Linked DNA regions of Oreochromis niloticus. The protein of the gene in region 2 interacts with the protein of the main gene of each other region in a pairwise test. Links are inferred from orthologs where the notes say so. Each region holds a gene or a part of one and is shown on either strand. Other genes may lie near its edges.

Evidence for each region. The genes of interacting proteins can lie anywhere in the genome.
Region 1: the proteins of gps2 (region 2) and sestd1 interact in binary tests that used the Homo sapiens proteins (3 or more experiments, as listed by UniProt). The two-hybrid records come from large-scale screens. The link is inferred for Oreochromis niloticus from reciprocal best matches to the Homo sapiens genes GPS2 and SESTD1.

What each region holds. Positions count from the first base shown.
Region 1 is NC_031987.2:24,164,096-24,174,142, reverse strand, and holds the start of sestd1 (SEC14 domain and spectrin repeat-containing protein 1), read right to left. Parts: upstream 4,609-10,047; 5' UTR 4,281-4,608; intron 2,686-4,280; coding exon 2,616-2,685; intron 2,484-2,615; coding exon 2,375-2,483; intron 1,728-2,374; coding exon 1,637-1,727; intron 1,517-1,636; coding exon 1,403-1,516; intron 1-1,402. Other genes in the region: solute carrier family 22 member 4, read right to left, coding at 6,180-6,294, 6,672-6,807, 7,537-7,719, 7,996-8,210, 9,189-9,355, 9,448-9,574. UniProt on the Homo sapiens protein: May act as the primary docking protein directing membrane turnover and assembly of the transient receptor potential channels TRPC4 and TRPC5.
Region 2 is NC_031967.2:15,819,607-15,830,672, reverse strand, and holds the start of gps2 (G protein pathway suppressor 2), read right to left. Parts: upstream 4,033-11,066; 5' UTR 3,845-4,032; intron 3,444-3,844; 5' UTR 3,420-3,443; coding exon 3,326-3,419; intron 1,640-3,325; coding exon 1,530-1,639; intron 1,433-1,529; coding exon 1,320-1,432; intron 1,237-1,319; coding exon 1,157-1,236; intron 1,075-1,156; coding exon 995-1,074; intron 893-994; coding exon 721-892; intron 1-720. Other genes in the region: gabarapa (gamma-aminobutyric acid receptor-associated protein), read right to left, coding at 5,749-5,829, 5,977-6,095, 6,196-6,274, 7,600-7,689. UniProt on the Homo sapiens protein: Key regulator of inflammation, lipid metabolism and mitochondrion homeostasis that acts by inhibiting the activity of the ubiquitin-conjugating enzyme UBE2N/Ubc13, thereby inhibiting 'Lys-63'-linked ubiquitination.

The DNA of each region.
Region 1 (10,047 bases), on a different chromosome or scaffold from region 2:
GTGACTGGTTGGGGGTGAGGGGAAGAAGACAAAAGACACACTGTGGAAGGGAGAGCCAGAGATTAATACTAAGTAATGATTAAATACAAAGTGTTGTATAAACACACAGAAAGTGAAGAAGAAACAGTGCATCATGGGAAGCTCCCAGCAGTCTCAGCCTCCTGCAGAGTTACTAAGAGAGGATTCAGGGACACATGATCCTTTTATCGAAAAGAAGTGTTTTAAACCTAATCTTAAAGTAAAAGTAGCGAGGGTGTCTGTCTCCCAAATCCAAACTGGGAAGAAGAGGGGCCTGAAACCTCAAGGCTCTGCCTCCCATTCTACTTTCAAGTATCCTAAAAACCAAAGATTTTCCAGGATGAATAGTATAACTGATTATTTCGCATAAACTGCCCCAAAAGTAACCAGTGCACAAGTGACTGAGTTAAGAGTCAGCACAAAACAAAGTGAAAATAAAATAAATACAATATTAGAACCACTTCTCACAGCCGCAGTAACAGGAGTCTGGAGCCACGCAGCTGTGTGGGGCTATACTTAGGGCAGAGCATTGCACTGCGAGAGACGCCAATATAAGCACAAGCAGCCTGCTGATAATGACCAGTACTTACAAGGTTAAGTTTTACAGGTATCCCACTACCGCCTCTATAGTTTAGCATAAGCACAAAGTGAAGCCGATGCTGATGTGAGCACAGTTTGTAAGGTGTTGCCCTGATGCCGATGTGTGGCCATGGATTTCCGTCATAAAATGATGAGCATGATGAAACATGATTGCAAGCAGATGTTATTTCCCCACAAGCAGGTATCCCAACACGCAAACTTAACAACTGCATGTGTAAAACTAAGCAAACAAAGCAGCCAACATATGCTGTTAGGCCCTCTCAAGTGCTAGGGGAAGTACTACCTGCTCTTGCGAGCAGCTGCTTGTGAATTTAAAAGTACACGTGGGAATCAACCTGATTTTTGACAGGCTGGAGATGGAAACTAAGAGAGTTTACACCACGTGTGACAGAAATCTAAAGCCAGAGCTTTGGATTAGGTGCCATCATTTCTCAAAAGCAAAACATGTATAATACTGCAAAAAATAACAGTGTTAGTCTCTGTGCTGTCTTCGTAAGGATATATGGAATATGTGCAGTGTTCACATGGAAAGTTGGAGCAGTGATGAAGGGAACCAAACCCCACTCTAATAATCTGAGGTTTACAAGAAATGCTTCTCAAATGCCGACCATTTGTTTAAAATGGCCCCAGATGGGGAAAATCCCAGCTTCACATGGGGCAAAATATGACTTTTTTTCATTTGAGGTACAAATCTTCAACATCCACAAACCCACTGCTCCGGAGAGAGCGGGTTTTAAGTGTAAAGTTAGCTGCAAGCTGAAGCAGAAGCAGCTGAGAGACTCACCTCAAAGCCCAGACGGTCTTTCTCCTTCCAGAAGCAGAAGTGTGTCACCTTCTTATCCCAGAATTCATCTGGCTTCACCACGCAGACCAGCGACACTTCAGGTGGGATCACATTCTGAAACAGCATCAACGCCATCATTAGCCCACTGCTTTTTAAAGAACACCCATAGCAGCCAATGCATTAATGCAGCTTAAGCCTGCGTTGTGCCTGCAGGGACTCTAAATGTGTTTCTACCTGCAACATGAGCACCACAGTCTTCACGGTGTTCCACTGAGACTTCCGTCCATCCACGATAACAGTGAAACCCCGAGCCTTACACTTCTCACTGGCACAGACAAAGAGAGAGAGTGTGTTACCAACAGCGCACCCACACCCCATCATTTACATACACAGTTTCCTGTTTGAGCATCATTTGGGTGGCCAGCTCACCAAGCTGTTGCTACCGAGGCTACTTTATGTTTTCTTCATCAGTACAAATAGTAACAAAAATAAAGCCTGAGACTATTTTTTTTATTTGTTTTATATGCTATTCACACATTCCCAGCATCGCGTATATTTCTGCTCCTCTTTCAAGTCCATCTATATACCGATTTGTCAGCTATAAGCAACCTACAGGAGCTTGAACAGCTCATCCAGCGTGTTTTGGAAGAAACGAAGCGTGAGCTGAAGAGGCCAGATATGGAAAATGGGACTGAATCACCTGTCGAGCTGCCAAGAATTACAGCTGTCAGATCGTGCTGGGGACGCTCAAAAAGGACGAGCTGAAAAATAGTAACACTTAATAAACTAGAATCATCCTTTAAGCTGGATTTCTACACTCGAGCCACAGGGTTCAGATCCAGCAGCTCCTCGCTGACAAGCCAAAACCCAAACATGTCTAAAAGCATTAAAAGTGAAATCCAACAGTCTCCGGGTGATAACACTGCTCTGGGACACACACCAGACTGTCCTCAGTCGTGTCTCTGTGTGTACCTTGGGATGCTAAGCAGGTAGTCCAGCGTGGCGCTAAGCTCCTCCATGCTGGTCTGATCTGAACTGAGAGGGATGGTCAGGATCAGACCACTGCGCCGGTCTTTGCCCCCTAAAGAGTGACAGGCAGACCGGTGGGAGAGGGGAGGAATCAGATTACAGCTCAAACAGCAGTGCTAACTGGGATGACCCCAGGATTGAGGAAACAGGTGTCGATATTTTATTTTAAATCGAAGTGTTTTACCTGACAAGAAGGCCAGTTTCTTCTTGAGAATGGGGAGGATGGTGGTCGCTTCCATTGTGACAGCAGACATCTGTAAACACACATGCAGACAGTTTTTCCTCCTTAAGTCTAAGGTATCCTTTCTTAAACTAAAAGCAGTCTGAGTAAGTGGAAACGAGGCCCACAGTTACACGTGATAGTCAATAAACTCCAACACTAGACCACAGTTTTCAAACCTGCACGATCAGATGTTGGCCCACAGGCTCACACTTTAATCCACAGCTCTCTGAGGGGCTTGACCAGAATGTGAATGCGCAGTAACTACACAGAAATCCCACAGCTATCGAGGGTACAGCGTCCTTGCAAGTCAGTGCAGGAGCACAACAGCCATAGGTGATAAAACACAGCTCCGGGGGTCGCTGCTAAAACGCTGCGTCCAGCTCCGAAGTGTCAGAGCAATATCAGCGGAGCAGCACTGTGATTTTCGTGTGCGGATTTTCTCTCAGCTGGCGCTTCTCCCGGCCGATTCAGATTCTTGGCTCCGGCCTCGGCCTGCGATTTACTGCCTGCCTCATCGGCATGTCAGCGTGGTTCAAGCAGTCAGCCAGTAAATCAGTCAGTTTGCATTTCTGTCAGCTTATCGGCCGACTTAACATCTGTGGTGATTTTTTTTAACCCCCACCCTTTCTACAGTTGTTGCATTGTTTCTCACACTCTCCTATTAAAGGCTGTGCTCCTTTAAAGAACCAGTCTGGGCTTTTCAGTTAATTACAGCACTGCTGGAGGACTTAATGTAGGCTCTACAGAAAAATGTCAAACTACTCCTTTTTTATTCCATCTCAGCGTTTTTGTAGATTTAGCTCCTTACCATCTAAGCTGCTTTCTGTTGCTTGTAATTTGAGACACAGCAATCACCCCCATGCAAGCCATAACACAGGCTTGCAACTCCTTTAATTTTAGTGTAGTGTTCGGATTCTGTATTCAGTTACACAGGCATGCTGAGTGCAATCATGCAATTCACATAGTGACCTTGACGTGATGTGGCACACAGACGTCATCTAGCTTCTAACTTGAAGTTATATTAAAGCTTTGTGTTTGCAGTATTCTTATTTTTGTCCTTACAGTGAGTCATGTCGATCTGGTGTCTGGAGAGCTGTGGGGTTCTTACTTTATTACATTTGATCACAGTTCTGATGACTAGTTGAAGATTTTGTAAAGGAAGTTTTCTTTCAGTCACTACATATTTTATCATTTTAACCTCTTTCTTAAAAAGTATAAACTCATGCTCCACTATCTTCTGTTTCTGTTCTACTCCTCTGCTAAACTTTGCGTCACATTTATGATTTGGCACAAAGGTGTTCATTGTGCTATTTGCAGCAGATGTAGTATTAGTTAGATTAAGTGATTTGGTCCCTGCAGCACCAGTCTGTGTCCACCTCCTCCCCCTGGTGCTGCTGCTGCTGCTGCTGATGGGGCTTCACCTTCGTTCTCCTGCGGCTTATCCGGCCCAGCTCGGTGTGTCTCGGCTTGGTTCGGCTCGGCCCACAGACACAATGACCTACATTCACAGCTGCAGACTGCGGCTGCTGCAGCCGTAACCTCCCCTTCACCGCAAACCTCGACCCGCCCAGCCTCGGCAGCTCCGGGATCCACAACAGTAGCTATTGATCCCGCACGTTTTCTTACCTTTTCAGTCAAATCTGCGGCATTTTTCCCTGTCCCGATTTTTTTCCTCCTCCTAGTCCCCCCTCCTCTTCTCCTCTGTCGCTTCTTCTCCTCTGCAGTTTTTCCCTTCTTCCTCTCGCTTCCCTCCTCCTCCTATTCTGTGTCCTCTCGGGCGGATTTATCAGCAGATAGTGAATCTGTTCTCCATGAAAAACACCGAGGAGCTCAGCGGGCTCACAGTACGCTTTCAACAACGCTGCAGTCCTGCTCCAAACACACACTCTCACAAGGCAGGCGTTGGAGCTGGCTGTTGTGCGCAGCCTCAGTGTAGCCAAATTAAGAACGCGACTTCCGGTGAAAACGACTTTCCAAATAAATGCCTGGAGGAACAATTTCTCACCACATTACAGAGGAGCCAATGTTTAGTTATGCATTACTTATCACATTTATTTACAACCACGATTTGCACACTTTTGCCCCCTTGTTTTTTGTTTTGTTTTTTTCAGAAACCTTGGAAATAGTTTGTGTGTGTGTGTGTGTGTGTGTGTGTGTGTGTGCGTGCGTGTGTAAAGTTTTATTTTCCCCACTTCCTCAGTATTCATTTTACATCAGGGCACACACGTGGCCACTTTGCTAAATAGATAAATATAAATACAAACATAAATATGATGATATATGATAAATGTGTAAGAGTACAGAAAAGTAGTTCAGTGCAAAGAATGCCATGTCTTGTAATTATAAAATATCAACTTTTTCTTAATTGACAAAAAAATTCCTTGAAAAAACAAACAAACAAAACTATGGACTCACTGTAATAGTGGGAAAAGAGGAAGTTTAATTTAATTGTTTATCTGTGAATTATTACATTGGTGTAGTAGAAATTCTAGTCTGGCACCCATCCTCTGTGGGAGGTTTAGTTTTGTATTTATTATTGTTATTATTATCATTATCATTATTATTATTATTATTATTAATTATTTAATTCATTTTGATTTTTTTTTGAAAATTAATTTTAGTTTCATTTCATTTGCAGAGTGGATTTTCTTGTTTTACTTTAATTTTTATTGATTGACAAGCTCTAGTTTTATTTGAGCTTTCATTAGTTTCAGTGTTGGTTTTAGTCTAATTTTTATTGTATGGATGGCATGTGTTTTTAGTTTTAATAACTATAACAACCTTGGTTTACATATATTACACATTCCATATAATGAAATGTGCTATTTAAAGAAAACTGTAATTTTCTTTGCTTATTTCAGCTCACCAAAAATCAAAAATGTGAAATTTTTTGTTTCAGTGAGTGTAGTTTCAAACCAGACAAAACTAGAAATTCAGAGTCAGTGTGAAGCCACTTTTGATTTTCTCACTGATTTATTTAACCACACATAAGCATACTAAGAAATACAAGATAGAGAGAAAGAGAAAGTACACACAACAAGTCACATTTTTTTCTCATTGCACACCAAACCAAATCAGAGGATTTTATTATTAATATTACTGTTCTTATCTTCATCTCTATTATTGTTATTTTTATTATGTAACCACCAACAATCCAAAGCATCGGTAACCAATGCAAGCACTCCACCCTCACGTCTTATATGGTAACTCCTGAATCAAAGTCTTTTTATTTCATCACAAATGATATAAAAAAATTTGTAAGTTTTAAACACAAATTTAAAATTGTATAATCCAAGCATGGCAACTGCTCACACGACTTAAATTCAAGTTCATTTCAAATTTAAAAAATTAAGTTTTTTTCTTTTTTTGTTTCACTTCCATATTCTTGCTCAGGCTGAAGTGTTTTTGTGGTGATTTCTGCTGCGGCCTCACAACAAGAAGGTTCCTGGTCTTCCTGGTCTCATGACTGGGGCCTTTCTACATGATGAGGTAAAGCATCATGTAAAGCAAATTCAATCAAGACCTTTAAAAGGCAGTTGAGCATTTGATCTCAGACAGAGAAGTCTCGCTGACAGCTGGCTCCTGGACTCCAGGTGAATTCCCATCAACCTTTTGGTGACAGAGCCCTTTAAACTTGAACCTAGAAGCCAAATGAGGAGAGCTGCATCAGTTAGGCTATATTAAACAATGGATATTTGATATATATTTGCAACAATTGTTTTGTTTTTTCATTTCAGTTTTTTTTCACATTGTACCCGCCTTTATTTTTGATATTTCAAAATGAACTGTATATTTCTTATTCTGGTCTCATGACACAGACCTACCCACATAACACTTTAAGACTGTAGTACTGTAAACAATCAAACCAGATTTTCCTATTTATATATATTTTTTTACAATCCATTCATAGGATATCTATTATCTATTATTATATCTATATACGGTGCAGACATGAACACACCTAAATATACAACCTGCAAAAGCAGCATCACTAGCATAATCAATAGACAAGCTTACTTCTTAATGACTTGCATCTGGTCGATGGTATCAGGAAGCGGTTTTCCAAATGACTCCGGAAGGAAAAGGGAGACAAGGACACTGATGACTGACAGGGAACCCACAGTCAACCACGGCAGGAACTCGTAGAACACAGCTGCAGACAAAACCAGAGCCGATTATTCAGATACTTTCTCTGCTACAGACTTCTGTCATCATTGAGCTGCAGGTCAGTTTGTTAGATTTAGAGTTGAGAAGCTGTGCATTAAGGATGCTTTAGTCATTAAAGTGAACTAAAACTTCATCTCTACACACCGACATCTGTTGCATAAAAAAGGCATAAAGGTTCTGTGTATACTACAAAGTGCTCTATCCCAGAATAATCATCTTAGTATGATGTTTCCACAAAAGTAGGGACGCTTTGCAAACATGTAAATTAAAAACAGACCGCTATTAGGATCATTTAAAGCCTACAGGGCACTGAATAGAGCACAAGGACATCGTAACAAAAACATATTGAAACAGAATGAGTTGTTCAATTTTCCATCTGCTATTTTTTTAATGCACTGCACAACTTTCTCAATCATTTCTCGCTCTTGCCTCAAAACGGAGTTTAGCGAAGTTGTGAAATTTCACTTAATTTCAACATTTTTGATATACTGTCTTGGATTATTTGATTAATTTTGATTTTCATCATATCCCAATAGCTTTATTCTTTTCTCAGACCCAAGACAAGCAGAAAATGTTGGAGAGTAAGCTTAGGACATTTTTAATACGAGTATCCTCAGTTGTAACAGTTGTCCCAACTTTAACTTTCTTCTTCCTCTTTTATTCTTTTGTTGGGGGAGGGGGGGTGGGGGGGTGATTGTGATGCCAAATATCTCACCCAGCTGCAATAGGTATGGGGCGACAGAGGACCCCACTCTGGAGAATAAGGCAGCAGACGACAACATCGTGTTCCTGATGACTGTGGGAGACAGCTCTCCAGTGAGCAGGTGCAGGATCCCTTCGGAAGCCAGGACTCCAAATTTACCCATCAGCACCAGGGTGAGGGTGATGTTGTGATACTCTGAAGGGAGGAGAAGGACTTTAAGCTTATGAGGAGTGAAACAAGTTATTTTCAAACATTGGTGAGCAGGTTTACCTTCTCTCAAATAATCCATTAGCAGCTCTAATTAAGCATGGCAGGATATTTTGTCTATAAAGCTCATTTAGGGCAGCACCTCTGACAAAGTGGCTGTGTGTGTGAGGCCTTGTTGAAAAGGCTTATTGTGTTGATATTTTTCAACACAATCAACAGTTATATTCACTAAGAGAGCAAGAAAAGGACAGTGGTCTCACTTACTGTGCAGAGTGATCTGGATGAGGAAGAGTGGCAGCGCCCCCAGCAGGGAGAAGCCAATAAAGGACATGCGACGAGGAAAATATTTTGCGCTAAACCAGCTGACCAAGTGTGCTGGCATCTCCATTAATGACAGCAAGGCGTAGTTCAGAAAGGGGTTGCCATAGATAGTAGTCATATTGAATGATAATCCAAAGTAGCTCACATTCAAAGAAAACCTGCAAACAACAAGAGAACAAACAAACAATAAATAAAATGAATCCTGTTAGGATCGCTCAGAGGCTGCAATGTCAGTTATATCAATAGGCAGTTGTAAAACATGTCAGAGTCCCTGGGGTTCTGAGTTTTCTTTATATTTCTATTCTCTAGTTTTAGTTTCACATGTACTTCTGTGTGTGGTTTTAGTCTGGTTTATATTCAGTTCGTTGAGTTGCTGTGTATTCCCCTGTCTTTAGTCTCTTTTTATGTGTGTGGCCTTTGGCCTGCTGCAGAGGAGGGGTGACACAGTGAGCTCACAGGGCAGCGCAGAGGTGGAGAAGAGCAGGTCTGCTGAACTGGACTGATGAATTGCAACTCTTTTTATGTCTTGCAGTGAGACAGAGCAGGGAGAGTGACAGTTGCAGAGGAGTGCCTGTGTCCTGGGCAGAAGCCCGAAACCACAGTAATCACTACTGTCAATAAAAGCACTGCTAACCGACAAAGCTGAAGTGTCAATCCTTGGGTCCTGTTTCACGATGTGTTTTTTTACTTTCTGTGTGTTCTTTATGTTCAGTTGTCCTCACCTGTGTTGCTACTTGCTACCCCTCTCCGGTTCCTGCCCTGTTATTGTTTGGGATTTTTGCATTTTTTGTGTGAGCCAGCATTAAAGCTCCTTATTTTGAGTTCATGTTTTGTTTCCCAAGTCCTCCATTTGGGTCCACAACCTGCCCGCTACACAGCCAATACATGACAAAATGTAAGTTTGTTCTGAGCGCGATGGTAAAGGAAAGTTCACGGACTGTTTAAAGGGTTCATTCTCTGAAATTTATAGAGAGCAGAAATATTACTGCAGTAGGACGGCAAAATATGTGCTGATGGTGATGTCAGCATGTTAAATCATGGGATTAGTAGTTTTTACTGTGTCTTCATCTGGAGTCATAAACCTATCAATTATGTTATCGCTAAGTGAAAGGTTCATGGAGAAAGCTTTAACTCACCAGAGAAACCACACTACGAGTGTGATACTTCGAGTGGTCATGTTCCTCAGCAGACCCAGGTAACCAGAAACCTCAGGTTGCTGAGGTTGTTCAGATTGCTGAGATTGTTCAGGTTGTTCAGATTGCTGAGGTTGTTCGGGTTGCTGAGACTGTTCAGACTGTTGAGACTGTTCAATGTCCCACATAGAAAATTCATTGCATTAGCCAATGTAGTGTAGCGTGATACAAGTTGGACAAGGATAAGGCCAGAGGCTCTTACTTCTGCTGAGCGAAAGAGGTCAGATGGAAATTCCACTCCGTTCTCCAGAGCAGCAAATCTTAGCAGGAGTTCTGCTTCCTTAAAACGGCCTTTGGACAGTAGCCAGCGAGGAGATTCTGGAACCAGCCTGGTGGACAGACAGACACAAATGTGTAGTTTGTTACTAAAGTCAACATAGGTGGGAACTGAGGAAAAATACAAGAGCCTCCTGCTCCATCTATCTGTGTTTATTCATCAAGCTGATGCTGGAAAAGTTAGAATCTGGATGTGATGAGTTAGAAATTATCTGGATGCCACGATTGTCTTCTTTTGGCTGTCCCTGTCCAGGTAGCCACAGTGGATCATCTGAGCGCCATAATGATAACTGTAAAAATCTGTGAAAAATGTACTTTGCCAGAAGCCAAAGATTTTGATTTAACACTTTGTGCTTGACTGTGACTGCAGATACAACCTTTGGACTTTGATCATCGAATCTGACAAAACAGGTTCAACAATGTTCAGCTGGGAGGAGATCTATAGGTAGAACGGGAACTGGCATAAAAAATTATAAACTCCTTTCTGGGGTGGCTGTGGCTCAGGTGGTAGCGCAGATCAGCTATT
Region 2 (11,066 bases):
TGAAGCAGGCCCAGAATGAAGCTTGATGACTCAGACTACACACAGACACACACATACATGATCTACTGCTTACCAGAGGTCACACACTCACACACATAATGTTCTCTGAACCATATATGGACTCAATTACATGTATTAGTTTAACTTTAGCTATATTTATGTGTATCATGCTTATTACTGTCAAGACTCTGATAAGGATATAGCCTTAAAACTACTAGAATGCCTTCCTTAACCTTTGAATAATGGCTATACCCTCCCTCTGGACTGCCCAACTATACTTCAACAAGCCCAGCCTGACACAGCAGCCTGCAACCGGCTCAGATTGTATTCTATGTCAGCTCCTGAAATCCAAGTAAAGATGGAGGAATCCCACACATGATGCTGATAATTCATTTCTTTGTGAGTTCACTGTGCCACTAGAGAACATTGTTTGAACATTAAAGGACAAAATGACCTCTTACACAATTACAACTAGTGTATAACACATTTGTGTTTGTGAACTGTGACGCACAAACAGCGTGGTACTGTGCTCTGCTGTTTTACACCTTCACCTAATGTGCATCTTATTTCACTCCCTCGTTTCCTGTTTCTTCCTGTCTTATACAGTTTTTTTTTATCGTGTATATGACTGGATGTAAGTCATGTCACTGTGACACATTACTCAAAATTTTACTGTACCACTGTACACATTGACAGCAAAGAAATCTTATCTCATCTTACCTCTGATCTGAGAGCTGCTTGCGAAACTGACTGGCACTGAGGGTCCGGGGGCGTAGCTGGAAGGATGCTGAGCCTGAGCCACTCCGTAGGGCTCATGGACCCCCTGACCTCCGCTGAACTGGCCATGCTCTGCGGAGCCTGAGCTGAAGCCAGGCGTCTGATAATGGCGTGCCTAAAAGAGGACAACGTGCACATGTAAACACTGTAAGAAGCATATTATATAGATCGTATTATATTTTATGAATTCTTTAAGTGGAACACTCCTTTTACTCACAGGGAGGACAGCAGCTGGGAACAGCTGTTTGCTCCTTTCTCCGAGCAGTGGGGCAGGTCTGCTGTGGCTGACTGGATTGCCTGAAGGAGAGAAAAGGAGAATGTCACTATATGAAAAATAATGACGACTCTGGCAAGGCGCAGAACCTGGAACTTTTCTCGCCTTGAATGCCGAGGAGGTGCTGTCCTGGGTGCATGGGCAGACTCTGCTGGTAGCTCGCTGATGTCAAAGTTGTAATATCACTAAAGAAGGAGACCAAAAAGATTAACCGACAATTAACAATCCTCTGACAAAACAACAAACTAAGTGAAGTACATATAGAAACCTCTGCTCTTTTCTTCGTCTTTTCTCCTCTTCGTGGAGAACTTTCTTGAGCTGTAAAAAGAGCTGATGTTTCTCTTCTTGTAGTCCCTGAAGTTTTTCCCCCATCTTCATCACCTGATGTTTATTTGAGGAAATCATGGTGTAAGAACACACAGACTTTGTTTTGTATAGAGCTGGGAGCACAGACTAGCTGAAATGTCACATTTCAAACCTGTTCTTTTGTTTCCTCCAAGGACATCCTCTCCTCTATCTCTTTTGTCCTCTTCCTCTCTTCCTCTTCCTTCATCTTCTGCTCCATCATTTTGTCCACCTCTTCCTCCTCTGAAAAAAAGTACATTTATTAAGGTGAGTATAATGTAGCTACTTTTTTTTGATTGCCTTTTAGATCTATGACCAAAGAACAGGTTGCAGGCAGACAGCTATAACATATACACTCACCAGCCACTTTTTTAGGTACATTTTGCTACTATAGGGTTGAACCCCTTTATTCCTTTAAAACTGTCTTAATTCTTCACTGGACATATTCAACGATGTGCTGTAAACATTCCTCAGAAATGATCCATGTTGACATGGCACATCACACAGCTGCTGCACATTCATGATGTGAATCTCTTGTTCCACCGCATCCCAAGGTGCTCTATTAAATTCAGATCTGGTGACTGTGGATGTAGTTTAACTACAGTGAACTCACTGTCATGTTCAAGAAACCAGTTTCAATTTGATTTGAGTTTTGAGACATGGTGTGCTATCCTGCTGGAAGCAGACGCACATGTTCATCAACAATACTAGGGCTGACGACTCTTAATTTGTCCTAAGAGGTCCACCGTGTTCCAAGAGAAAAATCACCATATCATTGCACCATTGATACAAAGCAGGATGGAATCATACTCTTATGCCGTTTACACCTAAAAGTGAGCCTACCATCTGAATATTGCAGTGGAAACTGACACTCATCAGACCGGCAAATGTTTTGTTTTGTTTTTTGTCAATCTTCTATTGCAAAATTTTGGTGAGCCTGTGCAAACTGTAGCTTCAGTTTCCTGTTCTTAGCTGATAGGAGCGGTGCCCTGTGCTGCTTTAACCCATCTGCTTCATGGTTTGACGTGTTGTGCATTCAGTGACACCTTGGTTGTAATATAGTTCGAGCAAAGTCATTTAAATCACATTTTTTCCTCATTCTGATGCTCAATTTGAACTTTAGTGGGTCGTCTTGACCATGTCGATATGGTAAATGCACTGGATGATTATGTATTTGTACCTAACAAACTAGCAGGTGAGTGTATTATTACATAGTAAATCACAATCATGGATGGATAAATGCAGAGAGGAATTTCCCCACGGGGATCAATAAAGTATACATTATTATTATAGATTATTTGAAGAATACACGCATAAACATAGGACTTTAATCTAGATGACGCAGACCTTAGTGAAATTTTCCAGAATTACAAAGAAAGAACAAGAAAAGTTAATTAATTTGTTTTATTGGCTAAATGCTAAAAACAATTTATACTCTGGAGCAGCGGTCCCCAACCCCCGGGCCTCGGACCGGTACCGGTCCGTGAGTCGTTCGGTACCGGGCCGCGAGAGTTGAGGTTCAGGTGTGAAATGTATGGTTTTCAGGGTTTTTATCGGTTTTCAGCGTTATTTTGTTATTGTTTTTATCGTTAACTCGGTTTTCCTGGGTCTTTTCACGTGTGTTATGAATAAATCTTCTTTTTTTCGGTACCGGCACTAGTTTTATTTTGTTGTATTCATCCGCGACACCTCATTGCCGGTCCGTGAAAATATTGTCGGGCATAAACCGGTCCGTGGCGCAAAAAAGGTTGGGGACCGCTGCTCTGGAGTATTACCTTTCCAAACACAGCTCAGCATCTTAACAGTGCTTGCTTATTTCTACAAGAATCCTTAAAGGTGTCAGATGTGACACCCTGTGACACACTAGGGCTAAACTACTTTTTAAAGCGCATACACACACACACACACACACACAAAATGAGAGAGCACCTTGTCTCTTGCGCTCTCTTTCCCTCATTATGTGTTTGTGGAGAGCTCTGGCCATCGCGTTGGACAGCTTGGGTCTCTCAAGCAGGGCGGGCATTGTGACAGGCAGTGGAGGGGCCAGCTGGTGTGGGTCAAAATGTCAGTAATGAATCGACAAGGTCAGATGAAATATTTAAAGTTCATTAAACTACATCAAAGTGTGCATCTACGCTCACCCAAACAGGTGTAACAACCACAGGCCTCGCTAGCTAGCCGATATCGGCCTAAGTTAGCACAGATAGCTGTACTTCCCAATACATGACAATATTTAGAGTATAATGCACCAACGGAAGGCATAGTAATTTAATATTACAAGTGATGTAGCTTACAAGTGTAAACCCCTGACAAAAATTATATATTTTAACTTAACCGGGAACAAACGTTAGCTAGCGAGGCTAGCTGCAGAGCACTTAACTGCGTTACGCATTTTATCCTACATGATCTGCTTTGAATTCTGTGCTGATAAAACTGTAAAAAGCTTACTTTTATTTCGTTGTGAGTCTTTTAATAAGAATCTAACCGTCTGGCGGTTTTCAGCTTGATAGACCTCGAGCGGTTAAAACAGATAAAAATCAAAACTTCTCCCACAAAACATAAACAGACGGAGCGATTTCCAGACCGGGGATGCTGTTGCATTTCCGGTTCAAAGAACGCGGTCACGCTTCGAAGTGCACTTTGGGAGTTGTAGTTTTGAAGTGCAATGCGGCGAATCTCACGTTGACGTCAGCAAAATGAAACTTCCAAGCAGTTTTGTGTATGTCGTGTTTTCTTTCCTTGATGCTTGATTTGACAGTTTTACAGTTCAAATATTTGATTTCCTATCAAGGGAATGACTTAGGAAACACCAAAGCTTCCTTGTGCCGAATGTGGGCTAACCACTTTGATTTCATTGGCAAAACATGAGTAATTTCCTCATTAATTACAACAGTAAATTACATGTTCCACTTGTCTTTTTTTCTTTTATACTTACATTACATACTACCTTCTTTGTTATTTGCTACTTACACAGAACTGTTCAACTATTAGAGCACTCAAAGCACTTTCTAACTGCAAGTCTCATTCACCCAAACACTTTTCTTTTCATGAATGTACTGAGGTCAAATTGGGTTTTAGTATCTTGGCTAAACATACTTTGACTTGTAGGCTAGAGAAGCCAGGGATCAAACTACCAACTCTCTGATTAGTAGAAAACCTGCTCTACCAACTGAGCCACATCAGAGCTTCCTTCCCGTTTTTTTTTTTGTATGTCCCTGTCCTACCAGTCTACTTTTGTAACGCCTTAAAGAAAGCAGGTGGAGGAAAGAATAGATGTTGGAGTCAAATGGCTTCCTTGCATATAACAAAAATTATAAACATACACGTGGACATGCATGACTTTGCGAGTCAGATTATCAGTGCAGCAACAGAAGCTGATATGATAAAACAACCCACGCAACCAGAAAAAAAAAACAAACTAAATCACAGGTTCATGTTTTTGTAACTTTTGTAACTCCCTTGAAGCGCACAGTGTCAAATTAACCAATGTAACGTTTCATTACATTGAAAGGCACAACTCACGTGGCTAAAAAAATAAAAGTGTAATTATTTGTTACTCTGTAGCAAAGGGACAAAAAAGACAAACAGCAGATAGTATTTCATCACATTTTATTATGTATGGTCATGAATAGAGAGAAAGAGCCAGTAACGCAGCTGTATACAGAGTTCAAATTGTAATTTTTTTTTTCTTACAAAAAAAAACAAACCCTTAAAAAAAAGAGAAGAAAAAAAATTGCACTCAGCTTTACACAACCCTTAGAAAGTAAGCCATCTAAAAATTAACAACAATAACAACAATAATCATTAGCAGTCAACATAATAGTCTTACCACTTAAAGCAGAGGATGATAATTTAGTCTGAATTCTATTATACTCCTTGCTAAGGTCCAATGCAGGGCAGCAAGCTAAATTCTCCTTAACATGCTTTAAATAAATTTTGCCACTTTAGTTTGTTTTTTCCTAGTGAAAGAGTTCTCTTTCCCTTTCATTTCTCAGCCTAAGCTCAAACTAACACAAATGGAAAAAAAAAGAAAAAAAAAAAAGGCCTATTTCTAGTATTATTTCATTAATCTCTCTCATTGTTTTTAAGTAAAGTACAATCGGTTTGACACTAGAAATTGAACTGGCCATGAGACCACTTAGTTACTGTTGAAAAGAAAAGTGGGAGACAAATACAATTCAGACTGCAGAGTAATAAAGACAGAATTGGATGCAAGAGGGGTAATGTATGGGTGGTGAAAGTGCATTTGACATATTCACTCTGGGAACTGTAGGCTGCTGAGCTGGATTTAATATTTAAATGAATGAATGGATGTGGAGGTCTCAGAAAGGTGGGTAGTGGTTGAAGTGGGATCAGATTTCCCTTTGGCTGTCCCCATACACACTCTCATCACTGTAGGCAATGTAGAGGAAAAAGTCCTCTTCATGATGCTCCTGATGGAAGGGGAAAAAAGAAAAAACATGTTAGCGCAATATCAATAATGTAGGGAGAGGCTAAAGAGGAACAACCAAAGGCAACATGCTGGTTAAGCCATAATGTGAGAGCATGTGAGTGAGCAGGAAGCTTAACAGGACTCTTGCCTGGTACAACAATCCCATGGTAGCTGAGGTGGGTGGAATGACGTTGTTTACAAAGAAGAAGAGCGCATCCTCAGCTCGCAAGTGGATTCTTTTCCGGATGAGGAAGTAAAACTGTCCCACTGATGAAAGAGACAATATGTAATAGTAGAAATTTCAGATGTGACATTGCCACTCTAAAATAGAAGTAAACAACTTTTTATGCTCCAAGGCAATGTTTACCCGTCAGGTCAGAGGGGACAAGGTACTTCTTCTTGTCCAGATCTCCTATTCTGGCTTTGGGTGCTTTCTCCACAATTACCTAAAAGGTTAGAAAAACAAAAGAAAAAAAAGAAAAGAAAGAAAAAAAAAAAAAAAAAAAACACAACAGGTGTACAACATGTTTTTATTAGAAAGGCTGCAAGTGTAGAGGGTGAAATATGGTGTTCGCTTCATTGTCTCGGAAAAGGGATCTGAGAGTGTACCAAACTGTCAGTCAAGCGAGGCCGAGCATATCGAACCCAGACGAAGTGTTTAATATAACACAGATTATATTTCGAAAAAGTATTTCAGTGTTGGAAAGAACCTGGTATATTTACACCCCGGCTATCAGACGTGCCGTTTAATTTTTGAACGCCTTCCTTACTAAACCTCTTTAAGTCTCTCTCCAGTCTAAAAATAGGACTGGTAAAATATCACTTGCCCACACGGTAAACACTGACTCCACAATTAATCAGCGTTTTTGCCCCCTCTTTTTTTAAATGAATCAGCACCTGATGTGACATTTTTTTGTCAGTACCATTTTATGATGGTGAATGAGAGTTTGAATTCAAATGATCAGACAAAACACGACATCTGTGAATGTCATCTGGGTCTTTGGGAAGTTGTTATGGACTGTTTTCACCATTTAGTAACCAAATAGGTATTCAATTAATAGAGAAAATAAGCAGTGGGTAATTGACTACGATAGTTAATTGTTTGTTGTAGCCACAGAACAAGTTTATGGTAAACGACGACTGAAGGACTGTAAAACGAAAGCTTAAAAGTGATCACGATTGAAAGGCAAGTGAATTTCGTCACACTTTACAGGAAAAACCCAAAATCCCCACATTAAATCAGCTGATAGTTGTGACACAAAGGGTCTCGATAGGCCAGACTAACTGGGGAAAGCCTTTATGATTTATCTCCAAGAAGCTGGGCGACGTAAACAACCCCGTTTTGTTGACAGCATCTATTTTAAGGCGCTCTACTGCGTTTCAACATCCAGCTACAGACCACTAAAAGAGTCTGTGCACACCTGCATGTCTTCACCGTAACCACCGTTACAGTCATAACCACCATTATCTGGCCACCAATGATGATTCACGGAAGAATAACACGGAGATCACCTGCTGGCCTGCTCAAAGCGGCCGAAATTCCTACTTAACCTCTGCCGTTGTTAGCTACCATGTGTGGCGGTTACAACGTGGCAGTAAACAAACTAAGCAATACATTGTGTGGGTAAAATCTCACTACAATATCACATTTAGATATTAAGCTTACATTAGTAATAAAAATAAAACAGTGAGCATAACGACATTAGCCTGACAGCAGTATAACAGCAAGGCAACATAGCTAGCTGTCAAGGAGCTAACGTTAGCTACTTACTGGCACCCTGTCCGGATACTTCTTTCTTATTTTCTCGCCTTCGGACCGCCTCTTCTCAAAGGGATGCTCTTCTTTGTACTGAAACTTCATCTTTAAAAGAGATGACAGACAACAAGTCGGTCACTCCGCGGTGGTACGGGTTGCTTAAGAAGTGACTCGAATCGCGGACACACAAACACAAACGATGCTAACTAGCCTTAGCCTCGCCACAGCTGTTTTCCTAGTGCGACTGCAGCGGAGGGATACAATAACAAGATGACGTAGAGGAAAGGGTAGTTCGCAGGGGCGTACCTCACCTTGTTTTAAACCCTGTTAACGTCGACTGTGTGATGATAATCGACGCGTATTCAAGAAAAAAATAATAACAATCTTGAAATAAACAGTATACGAAGGGCTTACGAATCAACGTTGCCTTTCTTTCTTTTTCTTTTCTTTTACGTGGAACTATTTTATGTTTTATCAGCCGCTGCGCATAAAGACGCTGGGCAGGGCACTGAGGAGGGATCTGTCCTTGTCATATGACCGAGGCCCAGCAGTCTGTGGTTGGGGGGGAGAAACTGAAAAACATGCGACATTTCATTGTGCTACGGGTTTCGCTGATGCACGGTGATAAACCCTGAACCAAACACGTTTATCACATTTCTGCAGCATGTTGGATTATTTTATGTAAGCATAAGTTACTGCGTATTTAATGGTGAACACAGTGCCTACTAAGTTTCCTCTAATTACTCGGGGTTTACGACTCATTACACCATAACAGACGAAAGCAGCAAATAATCAGGAGTTTTATCATTTATGCAAATTGTTGCTAAATGCTGTTTTTAGGATAACTTTATGTGTAACTATGGGAATTTACTGGGTTATTTTATTCATAAGTTTATATATTAAAAAAGAGTTTAATTTTTAAGTTTTGACATGAACACATTTGGTAAACAAACTGTGCCTCCAAAGCTGCCACTCATACATCCTGAAACACTCAGGAAAAGTTACTCACCTGCCTATTGCGCATATGACCCACAGGTCTGTGAGTCACATCCATGTGACATCCTTTTGGTTCAAAACCTCATGATCTTCCTTTTGTGCACAGTGATGAGACAGATTGCATATATCTAAAAATTACAACACATATTTCTGTTAAAGTGAAACAACCCTCTCCTGCTTCAGACCAGAACGTTGGCTGATAATTTTAATATTGTCTCTTGTTTTCTTTATTGGTTATACATTTTTTTGGTTGTATTTTTTCCCCCTTTGTGTTCTAGATTTCAGTCTCATGGCTCTTTCACAGCAGGAACTTTAAGAATTAAAGTGTATACTCAGCTGATGACAAACACTGACTGATCTACATTAAACATGATATTCTTTTTTTTTTTTTTGCCTCTCCCACTCGGCACTGTAGCAATTAGAATGATTGTCTGAAGGCCAAGAAAAATGCCTAACGGATTTATTTTTCCAAGTGGATCATTATGGCTTTGCCGTGGTCCATTTGATTGATCTTTATTATTATTAATTATATTATTTTATTTTTTAATTTATTTTTAACTTTTAAGTTATTACAAACGGAAGAGAGATGGCTGGAGGATAGGAAAGGGAAAGAACTAGACAAGAGAAGTTCAAGAAAAGGAGAGAGGAAGAGGGACAGTGAAAAAAAAGACACTAAAAAAATCAGCTGGATTACCTGCTGGAAGAAAAAAAAGAAAACAAGCAAAAGCAGCCACTGGGAGTGAGCCAGTACATACTCGAGCACCCAGCCCTGGATACCGTGAACCACCAAAGCACCGATGGCTGAGGGCATCAGCCACTGGCAGGGAGTGTGGTGGAGGGAGATAGACCCCCACACCTGGGGGGGCCTGAGATGTTCCCAGAGAGGTGGAGTCTAAGACCCGACCTGACACATAGACAAACATGCATTCCCATCCTCATGCACACATATGCAAATACTCAGCACTCGCCCAATGTGAAGACAAACAGAAATGAACACTGTACACACACTCACATCCCCCAGGTCCAGGTACAATCACCCCCAAAGGGGCAATCCGCCCCCAGGCCCTGGAGATGTTGCACTTTGCTCTGGGGTGGAGACAAGCAGACCGCCCCCAGTCCTGCAGCAGCAGGGAGGCCAAGCATCCCAGACCCCAACCAAACAGCTAACTCTTCCCCCCGGCCCCCCACCCCCAATGGTGAACAGAGAACAGGGGTGTGAGATTGATAACATGATAGATTCTTCTTGGAGTGAGCTCGCAAAGGAATCCGCTCGATTTGCAAGGTGGATGAAAGCAAGGCAGGTTTAAAGGGGAACCTATTACAGTTTTCCTAATTTTCTATCACATGTACATGCGTCACTTTATTAGGTGTCTCAATTCTTCGTGGCACAGATTCAACAAGTTGTTGGAAAAATTTCTCAAAGATTTTGGTCCATGTCGGCGTGATCACACAGCATTACAGTTGCTGCAGCTTTGCACATCCATGATGTGAATCTCCTACTTCACCACATCCCAAACGTGCTTATTGGACTGCGATACGGTGACTGTGGAGGTCATTAGACTAAAGCAAACTTACCTTCAAGAAACCACTTTAATATGATTTAAAGTTTGTGACATGGTGTGTTATCCTGCTGGAAGCAGCCATCAGAAGATGCGTGCACTAGTCAAAAGCGATTGACATGCTCAGCAACAATCATCAGGTAGGCTGTGGTGTTTAAATGATGCTCAGTTGACACTAAGGGGCCCAAAGTGAACCAAGATAATATTCTCCACAGTATCACACCACCAGTAGCAGTCTCAACTGTTAATATAAGAAAGGATGGAACCATGTTTTCATGCGGATGGCGGGGTCAAATTCTGAGTCTACCATCTGAATGCTGCAGCAGAAACTTATCAGACCAGGCAACATTTACTTTTGTGAGCCTGTGCAAACTGTAGTCTCAGTTTCCTGTCGTTAGCTGACAGGAATGGAACCCACTGCTGTAACCCATCTGCTTAAAAGGTTAAAATCACTTCTATTGCCTTTCTTCCACCCGCCTGTTTGTCGCCGTTTAGCAGGGGCAGCTAATCAGAAGACTGTTGGCTTAGAGGGAAGGAAGCTTAAACTACTTGTTTGAAAGGATAAATTGAGGAGTATAAAAGCGTAACAGATTTCCTTAATTAAGGTGGCTGGAAGGAAGCTGTAGTCCCAAAAATGGCAAAAACATATTTACCTCTTTCTGGGTTTCAGCCTTTAAATCATCAGTGAGAGGCAGATGTTAGCAAACCAGCATATACTGTATCCACCTTATACCGTGATTAGAAATCACATGCTGAAGTCTTCAGCTTGGGACAAAAAAACAAAAACATTTACACAACATCACACGCACAGCTATGGCTGTCTAGCAGATGTGCAACTGATGCAGGTCTTATAATAGAGGAGTATTGCACTGTATGTTTGATACAGTAAGAAAAACATTGATATTTTTCCACTGACAGTCATTCATT